2 linked regions of the Arabidopsis thaliana genome follow. The protein of the gene in region 2 interacts with the protein of the main gene of each other region in a pairwise test. Each region holds a gene or a part of one and is shown on either strand. Other genes may lie near its edges. The genes, in order: AT3G62310 and AT1G17970.

What was found.
Region 1: the proteins of AT1G17970 (region 2) and AT3G62310 interact in a two-hybrid assay, tested with the Arabidopsis thaliana proteins (one large-scale study listed by BioGRID).

What each region holds. Positions count from the first base shown.
Region 1 is NC_003074.8:23,056,489-23,062,344, forward strand, and holds AT3G62310 (RNA helicase family protein), read right to left. Parts: upstream 4,244-5,856; 5' UTR 4,074-4,243; coding exon 3,795-4,073; intron 3,664-3,794; coding exon 3,461-3,663; intron 3,371-3,460; coding exon 2,286-3,370; coding exon of another isoform or gene 2,131-2,285; exon of another isoform or gene 2,033-2,130; coding exon of another isoform or gene 1,962-2,032; exon of another isoform or gene 1,917-1,961; intron 1,915-1,916; coding exon 1,789-1,914; intron 1,694-1,788; coding exon 1,455-1,693; intron 1,375-1,454; coding exon 1,256-1,374; intron 1,158-1,255; coding exon 1,028-1,157; 3' UTR 752-1,027; downstream 1-751. Other genes in the region: DUF7 (agenet domain protein (DOMAIN OF UNKNOWN FUNCTION 724 7)), read left to right, coding at 1-593; AT3G62320 (Polynucleotidyl transferase, ribonuclease H-like superfamily protein), read right to left, coding at 5,317-5,434, 5,513-5,856. UniProt on the Arabidopsis thaliana protein: May be involved in pre-mRNA splicing.
Region 2 is NC_003070.9:6,182,886-6,188,229, reverse strand, and holds AT1G17970 (RING/U-box superfamily protein), read right to left. Parts: upstream 3,514-5,344; 5' UTR 3,199-3,513; coding exon 2,626-3,198; intron 2,060-2,625; coding exon 1,895-2,059; coding exon of another isoform or gene 1,823-1,894; exon of another isoform or gene 1,571-1,822; coding exon 1,472-1,570; intron 1,387-1,471; coding exon 1,252-1,386; intron 1,163-1,251; coding exon 1,028-1,162; 3' UTR 757-1,027; downstream 1-756. Other genes in the region: PAPS1 (poly(A) polymerase 1), read left to right, coding at 1-197, 283-350, 449-488; AT1G17960 (Threonyl-tRNA synthetase), read left to right, coding at 4,493-4,623, 4,735-5,035, 5,185-5,257, 5,314-5,344.

The sequences.
Region 1 (5,856 bases), on a different chromosome or scaffold from region 2:
TCGATATTGTGGAAACTCCCCCAGGGAGAGAGTCGACAATGGTTCTGCCATTTGTAAAGAAGTCACAGCTTTGGAAAGTCCTTGAATCAATGGAGGTCTTCAAAGTCGTGCCACAGAGTCCACATTTCAGCCCTCTGCTAGAGAGCGAAGAAGAGTGCCGTGAAGGAGACGCCATTGGTAGAATGGTGATGTTTAGTTCGCTGTTAGAGAAAGTCAACAATCTACAAGTCGACGATCCAATAAGCTCGATTAACAGGATCGACGAGTGTTTCCTCAAGCTTGAGAAACACGGGTTCAATGTTACAACACCTCGATCTAGGATAGCCAAGATACTGTCCATTAAAGAAAGGCAGACATGCGCATTGGAGGAATTAAAAGCTGTTGAGGAAAAGATCACAGAGAATGACAATAAAAGAAGGAAGTATGAAGAAGATATTGTTGAATTGCAGAGGCAAGAAGTGTTGATGAAGGAAGCAAAAGTCACACTAGACAATGAGATAGCTCGGATGCAGTCTCAAGCAGCTGTTCTTGACCAAGAGGTTCAGAATGTAGATCACGAATTTCAGGCAATTCTCGCTGCCCCATGGAAATAAGCAAGTCGTTGATCAAACCTTTGTGTTTAAGAATAATTGAGATCTCTGTACGTTGTTGGTAGAAAACATAACTTTGACTAATATATCAAGTAATGTCTCTGTTCGCCTTGCGTCTCGTATCTCTTTTCTCTTTCAGATTTGTCAATCATGAATCATATATGAAAATTATAATCTTCCAAAATTATTATTGCTAATTGTCATAACTCATAGAGAAAGCCTGAAAGGGAACTCAGTAATAAGAATCTTCAAAGCTCTTAAAAGAAACAACCATTTGGGTCAAATGCAAATATTTGTTTCAACACAACAGCTCCGAAAACGATAATTGCTAGAATCTTATGATCAAATAGGTAACTATAATTATGAAACAGGCTTCACGGATTGGTCCTCTTGTCCAAGTAGAATCAGATGCCGACATGAGAGGATAAGATTCTCCTTCATTTCCGGTTCTTCTTGCTCTCTTCCTTCTCCCTTTCTCTCTTCTTATAAAGCTTCTCGATTACACGTTTGGCTTCACAGTTGGGAAAGTTCGAAAGATCGTAATAATGAGAAGCAACATCAACTAGCCTATGAATCCACATGGCAAAAGAGAGATTTTTTTAGAAAAGAAAACCTCCGAGAGATAATAACCAAAGAAAACAAGAACACGAAATGCAAGAACTTACCATTCACCACGAATGTCTGTCACAGTTCTGATGAAATTCCGGCTAGTCAAAACATATTCGTTGTAGATTACCCACTCCGGTTTGTGATCCAAGCAATTGGATGGATGCAAATGAACCACCTGCCAATATAACCATCAGATTAGAACAAAGAGAAACATTTTAAATGGAAACAACCTAAACTGAATTTGTTTTGACATACTTGGTTGTCTTTGACGGTCAAGTAATGGCCAGTACGTTCTAAGTGAGCCACTTGCATGAAATAACCGGCAAGCATGGCCTTCCTTATGTTGATGTAGTAGTCGCGGCTGTTAAAATCAGTGCTGCACATCTTCAGGTTGAATCTTGACATTATCCGGACTAGCTGCTGTCTAACATTGTCTGCAGATTTCATCGCTCTATTGTTGATGAAGTTTTCATAGCACCAATTTGGATCCTCATCTGCGAGAATTCACATTGATCAAGTTAGTTACAGTCATTACATTTGTCTAAAGCAACTATAAACCAATGAGGAAGATAAAGGGATAATCACTTACTGTTTTGCTTGAAAGCGTGGTAGACATTCAACAATGTGAGGTGATCTCCCTCAATGTGTCCAAACCTAGCTTTAGCTTCATCTGCTGCTTTTTGAGCCTCTCTAGGCCGAATAAAGCAATTCGGTACTAGAGAAAGAATTGGTAATTATAACAGAAGAGGTCCAGGGAAGAGGTCAGCAGATGCATAGAGGCGATGAGACTGATACCATTTGCTTCATGAGAGAGAATAACTGAGAAACTGCAACTATTTGCATCAACAATTGCTTAGGACACCCCCTAACCATGGATATGCAGAATCCACACTAGAGACAGCTGATGACAACCTAACTCTATTACTTAATTCTAAATGACAATTATACACATGAACGATAAAAGATGAGATCTAATGCACATTAGAATATATGCAGAATGGAAACTGCCAGCAAGTTTACGCCTACCCTTAACTACATACCTAACCCAAGGTAGCAAAAACAAAAAGATAAAGGTAAAGGGCGTACCTGATAGCATAGCTGAAACTGAGAGAATCTCGTTTGAGCAGTTGAATTCAGGACTGACTATGAGCATCTTTGCCATCTGTGGATCCAAGGGGAACTCACTCATGATCTCACCTGTCTTTGTCAAGTTACCATCATCATCCAGTGCTCCCAAGTAATTCAAAACTTCTAAGGCTCGCATCAGTGTTTCGGGAGCAGGGGGATCCATAAAATCAAAGTGCACCAAGTCATCAATACCCAGTTTTTTCAAGGTCAGAACTGTATTTGCAAGGTTTGATCTCAATATTTCAGGATACGTCTGCGGCTGCAAGTCATTATTAAAACTCTTCTCTGTGTAAAGCCTGAAGCATTTTCCAGGCCGTGTTCTACCGGCACGACCAGATCTCTGGTGAGCACTTGCCTTTGAAATTGGGGACACCAACAAAGACTCAACACGGATTCGAGGGTTATAGACTTTTTGCTTAGCAAAACCAGGGTCAATGACGTAGACAATCCCATCTATGGTGAGAGAAGTCTCAGCAATGTTAGTGGAGACAACAATCTTTCTCCCAGGAGGACCACCTTCTGTTACAGGCTCTGGAGCAGGATCAAATATCTTCTGCTGCATCGCAGGTGGAAGAGTAGAATACAGTGGCACTACTTTAATAGGCCCCACTTGATCCCCAAGATTACCAACCTCTTTATTGATTTTGCGGCATGCATCTTCAATCTCCTCCTCCCCAGTTAAGAAAACAAGAATATCGCCAGGTGGCTCACACATGTGAATCTGGACAACAGTTCTAATAGCAGCCTCAAGATAGTCCCTCTCAGGCTCCTGAGTGTAAAAGATCTCAACTGGATGAAGCCTACCAGGAACTTTCATCAGAGGAGCACCGCTAAAATAATCCTGAAACTTTTCAGCTTCTAGAGTTGCACTCATCACAACTAACTTAAGATCAGGTCTATTTTTCAACACTTCTTTCAGAAGACCAAACAGCACATCTGTGGCTAGAGTCCTTTCGTGGGCCTCATCAAGAATAATGACTTTGTATCTCTCTAGAAGAGGGTCCGCCATTGCTTCTCTCAGGAGCATACCATCAGTCAAGTACCTGGTCATAGTGAGTAACACATGATTAGATACAAGTCCACAAATACATCAATTATAAAGATGAGAAGCTAAAAGAAGAGACAATGCTTACTTAAGAACCGTTCTGGGGCTACTGCAGTCCTCGAAACGGATGCTGTAACCAACTTCTTCCCCAATAGTTACATCCATCTCTTCAGCAACACGACGGGACACAGACATGGCAGCAACTCTACGAGGCTGTGTGCATCCAACCAACCACTTCCTACGCTTATCCGATGTTTCAGCATCCACAGCATCTATCACAAACTGTGGAATCTGTACAAATAAACAAAATTCAGCATTAGCCTTTCATTCTCTAGACAAAAGAAACTCTCCTCCATATACAATCATTCCCAAGCCTACATATCAAATTCCAAATATCTGAATGGAAAAGATGAAAACTTTACCTGAGTAGTTTTACCACTACCGGTTTCACCAACCAGAATTAGGGTTTGATTGTTGTTCAACGTTTTGAGAAACTCCTCTTTCTGCAGCCAGACAGGTAGAGTCCTCCGTTTCTCCAGAATGTCATAATATCTCTGTGAATAAGGCTTCCCGTTCCATTTATTGATCAGACTGTTGATTCCGCCGTCGGGAAGACCACTGGTTTTGGCGTTCTTCGCCGGAGCAGACGGATCGTCCATAACATCGAACAGACTAATTTTCCTCTTTCTCTCAGTACCCATCACGATACTTCTCTTACGAACAAATTACGGAGGTAAGAGAGATAGGACGAGGAAGCACAAGGCAAGGCCTTTAGCAAGAAGCAAGAACGATGATGAATGAAAATTTTATGAAAGCTAGGGTTCGGCTGCGTGAGTTAGAAGAAGAGAGAGGCGGCTTAAGTTTAATTATAATTTTCAATTTGACCCCAAATCTAAACAATATATACTTTAGCCCCCTCAAAATATTTGGAAAAGGAGCCAAGTGTTAGTTATGTTGGCTAATATAGGCTTTTGTAATAAGTATAAAGTTGTCAGGCCGGCCCAATATCTGAATATACTGAAATTATCGTCTTAACACTTCGAATTCATATTTTACTGGAATAATGAGGGTACATGATGAATCCAAGTGCTCAAGATATACTTGCATCTTTATAGGTAAAAGGGAATTTCAAAAGCCACATCATTTGGAGAGGAAACCGAAGAGTCGAAAGTTAAATGCATGTAGTACAGCTGTCTTGACCTTTAAGATTCATGAGGCAAATATTAGTAATGTCATAACGTTAGATTTCAAAAGCCACATCATTTGGAGAGGAAACCGAAGAGTCGAAAGTTAAATGCATGTAGTACAGCTGTCTTGACCTTTAAGATTCATGAGGCAAATATTAGTAATGTCATAACGTTAGATTTTATCTTCCTGAATAAGTTCTTCATGGCAACACATAAACCATTCCATCAAGTCTTCAAAATGCAATAATGCCTAAACTGAAACAAATCTTCTGTACACAATCAGACAGACTAAAAAGGTCTAATAACGATTGTAGGCTTATCCATTGTCTCTGCCGTTGGATTCCAGTACCCATAATTTTAAATTTTTAAAAGAGCCCAACTGTTCCAGGTTTGTGGGCTAATAATAGATTTGTAATAGGTTTTAAAATTTCAGGCCCAGCCCAATAATTAACGAGATGACAAGCCGAATATTTGTACCTTTTATGGACTAAATTATTTTGGTGAGAAGATTCAACCCTTTGGTAGCCGGGTAAAGTAATGGGGGTTGCGATTTACGAATGTCGCGTGTTGCAAAGTGATGAAGTTTCTAACAAGTAACAATCCCATACGGGCATACCTTACCAAATATTAGACCTTGGGGCCAAAATGATTTAAGATGGTGACAAAATCGTCCATTGAACTGCAGGCAATTGACGAGCAAAACAAGACAAAACATAGGAGAGACCGAAACAAACAAAAAAACAAACAGAGGCATGACTCAATACATAGCTTCTCTAATCAAATTCCCAACTTTGAAAGCCAAGTAAGCATTCGCTGCTGCAAGATTGATCTGATCCTCGGTAAGACTGTCATTGTCCCAATCTTCATAGATAGGGCTTGTTGGTTTCCAAAACGAGACCCAATGACTGAAATGAAGTTTGATCTCGCCACGAATCTAGCTGAGAGAGGCCCACGACGAAGGTCCGATATCAACGGCATTCTTGCAGGTCAAACCACACTCGCTCTTGAGCATTTTCAAAGCCTTGTTTATACCAACACCTGTAAAGGTGAAATCTGGAAGATTGAGGAAATTGGTGAGAGAAACGGGCAGCTTATTACCTTGTACATAAGGAAGCGGGATTATTAGGCAATTCTGGCCATCACTGAGCTCGAGAATCACGAGCTTGCTCTCCGGTGGGTATTCGCTATCGCCTCCTACAACCGATCGTTCTGTATCCAGACCGATGATTTTGTTCGCGTTTTCTTTATTACACAGAAATGTTCTCACTTCACTGGTAATGTCTCTGTCATTTCTAGC
Region 2 (5,344 bases):
GTCTTCCGATAGAAAAGATAGCCACTCCTCAAGCTCATGAAACTGAGGAGCTTGAAGAAAGTTTTGATTTTGGAAACCAAGTGATTGAGCAGATATCTCATAAAGTTGCAGTCCTGTCTGCTACTGCAACTATACCTCCATTCGAAGCTACTTCAAATGGCTCTCCTTTCCCTTATGAAGCAGTGGAAGAACTTGAGGTTTCTTATTTTTCTTATCAATTTTCGATACATAAATTGTTCTCTTGATCTTATTCCTCCTGTCTGATTTCTCTTTTGTTGAAAGGTTCTTCCCACGCGACAGCCCGATGCGGCACATAGACCTTCAGTACAACAGCGAAAACCGATAATCAAGTAAGTGATTTTGTGTCTATGTTTACTCTTAACGTTTGAATATACATTTTTGGATTTTGACAAAGATTGTTTGTTTTTGTTTGTCTGATTATTCGCAGATTGAGCTTCACGTCTCTAGGCAAAACCAATGGCAAGTAATAATGGCTTTTCCCTACATTGCCAAGAATCTCAGAGCACTTACGGAAATTCGAGATGTTAAGTTGAGGGGTTCTTGTTACTTTATGTCTTATATTTATATGCTTTTCTTAGATGTTGCATGATCTCATGTAAAACTCGTTTGGATAAGATTAATGTAATGTGTTCTTGTCTATGGATCCCAAACACTTTTTCTGTCATAAATAAAAGTCTGGGTTGAGTTTACTTCACATATATATATAAATGCAGACTCAAACGTTAAAACATTGATTCTTAGTTACGTGCGTGTATGCTATATGCTAAATTACTCTCTACCTGTCTTAAATCTACCTAGGCAACAGAAAACATAGATTTCAAACTCTTGATTTCAATCACATAAATAGACCCAACAAAGAATATAAGATCTTAAAAAAAAAAAATTGTGATTGCTAAATGCAAAAACAACAAATATGAATCAAGTATCAGATGATACAGATCTCTATACAGCAAGGTGGCTTGAAAGATCTTGAGCTATCAGAAACCCGACGAGATACAAAAGTCTTTTAAGGCTTGCCATATGCTGCCTTCTTACAGACCGGACAAGCATTCTTCCTCGAAAGCCATTGTTTCACGCAATGGACATGAAAGCTGTGTCCACAGTTCAATTCCCCAACCTCATCCTCTCTCTCATACTCATCCTGTCACCATCAAACAATAAGGAATAGCATTATGAAACTCATGATCTGTCTGAAGTTTCGAGAAGCCATTGACTCAATCTGGAGTTTACCTGACAGATGCTACATTTTCTATCAACAAGAGTATGTGATACGGATGGTTTGATTTTCCCAAGACAACGATGTATCTCGCTTTCTTTTAGTCCAGTATTCACATAACCAATTCTATCACCAAGCTCAAGAAGTTGCTGCGTAGACCAAAGCAAACACACTCGATAAAGTTGAGAAGATGAGATTGCAAGTGTTTTTCTCATGAGATTTTGAAAAACATACCTCGTATGACATGCTATCAACATCGAGCCTCAATTCGTGGTAGTTATCACGGGAATCTGTTATTCTTCCCATTACAAAACCATTCTGGAGCATCCTCATCTGCAGTGAACAGCAGGAACATGACTACACTAGCTGCATGGTTTAGTTCTTTAACTTGCTCACTTGCTATTAGCCATCCAAAACAGTTTTACAGCACCATACAGCACCAAAGAGAACGATTACATTATTTGTCTTCCACTCTATCAGTCACTAGAATATGTAAGAGACAACTCTAGAATAATCTCTTAGTTGATATGAAGCCAAGTGACAAGTCAAACCTTAACATAGTGTTGAGTGTGATCAGTTAATAAACTAAGAAGTCAAATCTATAACATTTACCAGATGCAAGAAAGACAAGGCAACTATTTGGCAAGAACATTCTACCTCGGTAAGATCATCAGGGTAAGAGCGTGGAAGATGGCCACGACATCTACTTGACAACATCGTTGGTTCAGCGCGTGATGATGTCACAAAAGTAGAATCAGAGTTGAAGATATCATGAGAATGAGTTTCTTGATTGAGAAACCGAATGGGAAGAACAGAAGAACCCTGCAGAACATTTGTAGCATTGTGTTATCATTTCTCAAACACTTAGACATGATGATAGATTCCTAATTTTCAAGTCCTCTGAAGCAATGCGTTTCTTTGATCAAAATAAATCCAACAACTCCCCTAACCAATTGAATCCAACCAAAAAGAAACTTAAACAATGCTAAGATTCCATCCTCTAGCTAAACGAGACAAAAGCATGATAAGATTCCATTCTCTAACCAAACCAGAGTTCGATTAGTTTATTGAGCATCAAACCCAAAAGAACCACCCGCACGTCAAACAAAGAAATTTTCTATATTATCCTCACATGAAACAAAAACTAATAATAGAGAACCGCTACATCTAAAGTAGACCCTTATGATTTGTCTAAACGAGAATCCAAACACATATATTAATAAACCAAACCAAACTAACAATGGCCCAGCAATTGGCATAGAGCTAACTACAACCACTAGAGCTCCAACCACTCCACACAGTTTCTGCCTAAACGATACCATTTCCTCAAAGTCAAAGTCAATAACATAATAACACTAAATTCATCATCCAACTTTAGATCAATTTACCAGTGTGTGATTATAATTGTTGTTATCCACATCAATTTTGCGACGAGACGACGGAATATTCCTTCCCCGAGGAGGATCAACCGATCGACCAATTACAGCATCCGTGGAGAAGCCTAATCCAGGTCTGCACCAAACATCAATAACGTCTCTAGCTTCTTCGCTTAAAATCCTAATCGAACCATCTTCGTAGCTTCCTTTATTCTTCTTTTTCTTTTTCTTATGCTTATGCTTCTTCTTCTTCTTATCTTTTCTAATTCTGGCATCCAAATCCGCGGAGTAGCGAATGACGGAGGGAACAGAAACCTCTTGAGCTGCTGCTGCTGCTGCGGCATAGCAACCCATCCCTCGAAACGACGACGTTTGGTACGGTTTCTTCCTCGTGCTTTCGTTGGAGGAGGAAGTCGGGAGGGGAAAGAAGGAAGACATTGCGGAGTTACAGAAGCGATTAGGTTGTGAAATCGGAAGAACGACGTGGCTTAGCGGCGGATCATCGTCGGCGGCGTGGAGATGACGGATTGTTTGGTTTCTAGCTCGTCGGAGTCTGATGTGCTCGCCGATTGTTGTAGAAGACATTCTCAAAGAAAGAAAGTAAAGGAGATAATGGAAATGTGGGAGAGAGAGAGCGAGACACAGTGCGCGGGGAAGGATGAAAGAGAGTGATTTCAAGCTTGATGATGATGATGATACAGTTTTTGTATAATGATTATAGCTTTTCCTATATAATACTATTAAAGATTTTTTAGTTTTTGTTTTTACATGCAACCATTAGTATGAGATTCCAAACAAAATCAGCTCATGCATATCTTTTGTGAATACTACCAAATTAGAAATAATGATTTTATAAGAGATATTGTTTAGGTTAATTTGAGTATTTCTCTGGGTTTTTAACTTTTTTTGGGCAATTTAGTTTAATGATTTTGCTTATTTTTGGTTTTTCTATTCCAGAAAAGTAAATTTTAAAATTTTTAAAATGATGCTTGCTTGTAAAAATAGGAAAGGTGTCAGTCACTACATGACTCTTTTAAGTCGAAACAATCTTGTTAAATAAATAAAAAGAGAGAGAGTGATTAGATATTATTTTGGTAGAGATAAAGAAGAGACACAAAGTCCAGCTGAAACATCCTACGATAAGCTTAAACATCAAAAGACCACTTCTTTGGTTGGTTTTAATATTTGAACAATCCTCGTATACATAAAGTTGGCACTCTTGAGCTTTGAAGACATCCAGCAAAGCCTTGATGGTTGATGCTCATCGCCACGAAGCCTGAACCGTTTTCCTTTCCAATATTACATTATTGTCTACCAGACCCGGTTCAACCAAATCGAACCCGACTACATTTTTGTAACACGAAACCATCCGAGAACGTTGCAAAACTGATTCTAGCTTCATCATTAATAGGCTTTTAAGAGCCCAAAACTACAAATAATAAGCCCACTTCAAACTGATTTTATAGCTTCCACATTAATAGGCCTAATAATGGTCATTTGGATATTATTGAGAATGCAACAAATATAAATGTGAAACATTAAATCAAAGAAAGTCACGCCAAAATAGGTTATATACATATACTTTTAATTTGCATTTTATCAACAAAACTACAATTCAATTGAAAAGAAATTATAAATATTGTAGAAAATTATTTAAATACAAAAGGAAATTATGTAAAGTTAGGTGCATCTGCCACTTGTTGTTATTACCTTATTACAAAAAATGAAAGGAAAAGCTCTAAAGCTTGGCCCGCAAGTCACTTTAGTGTTGTAGCTATAAAAGGGAAGTTGACCTTGGGATAATCTACTCCTCTGCTCTCAACGTCATCTTCTATATTCTATAGTTTCTATTTGTCCTTCGTTCTCTGCTCATCCATCGATGGCGAATAATCATCATCCCAAGGATGAGGCTTATCTCTCATCCGTCATCCCCAAGCGTATCAGGCTCTTCGAGGAAATCCAAGCCGAGCAGCTTGAGCAGCTTCAATCTCGGCCACACGATCCAATCAAGTAAATACGTTTATGATTAATTGTTCATCATTTTCACTAGGGTGCATCAATTTGTTTGCTAAGCTAGGGTTTTGCAATTAGTTGATTTCTGGTTTTTGTTTCACTGCTTAGGATTACTCTTCTCCCCGACGGTATCGAGAAAGAAGGAAGGAGATGGGAGACCTCTCCAATGGACATCGCAGTGCAGATTTCTAAGGGTTTAGCAAAATCTGCTCTGGTTTCTTCGGTTAATCATGTCTTGTGGGACATGAATAGGCCCCTGGAAGGTGATTGTTCCTTAGAGATTTTCGGATTTGACAGCGACCAAGGCCGTAATACTTTCTGGCATTCTAGCGCCCACATTCTAGGCCAGGCTCTCGAGCAGGAGTATGGATGCAAGCTATGTATTGGACCCTGCGAACCCAGAGATGAAGTAAGAGCTTTGTTCTGTGTTTTTTCCCCTTAATTATGTTTCTTTGGCTAAAAGAGTAAAAAAAGGAGGAGTCAATATTGTTTGGTTCTTGGTATTTCATCTGTAATGTTGCAAAGACGGGCTATCTCTGATGGTAATTGTTATTGCAGGGCTTCTATTACGATTCACTTTATTATGGCGAGCTGGGATTAAACGACAATCATTTTCCAAACATCGAAGCAAGTGTTGCATATATATCTTTTGCTGACATCTTTTTTGTTTTGCGGTATGGAATGTAGAATTACCCATTAGAATGGCCGAATTTGGAGT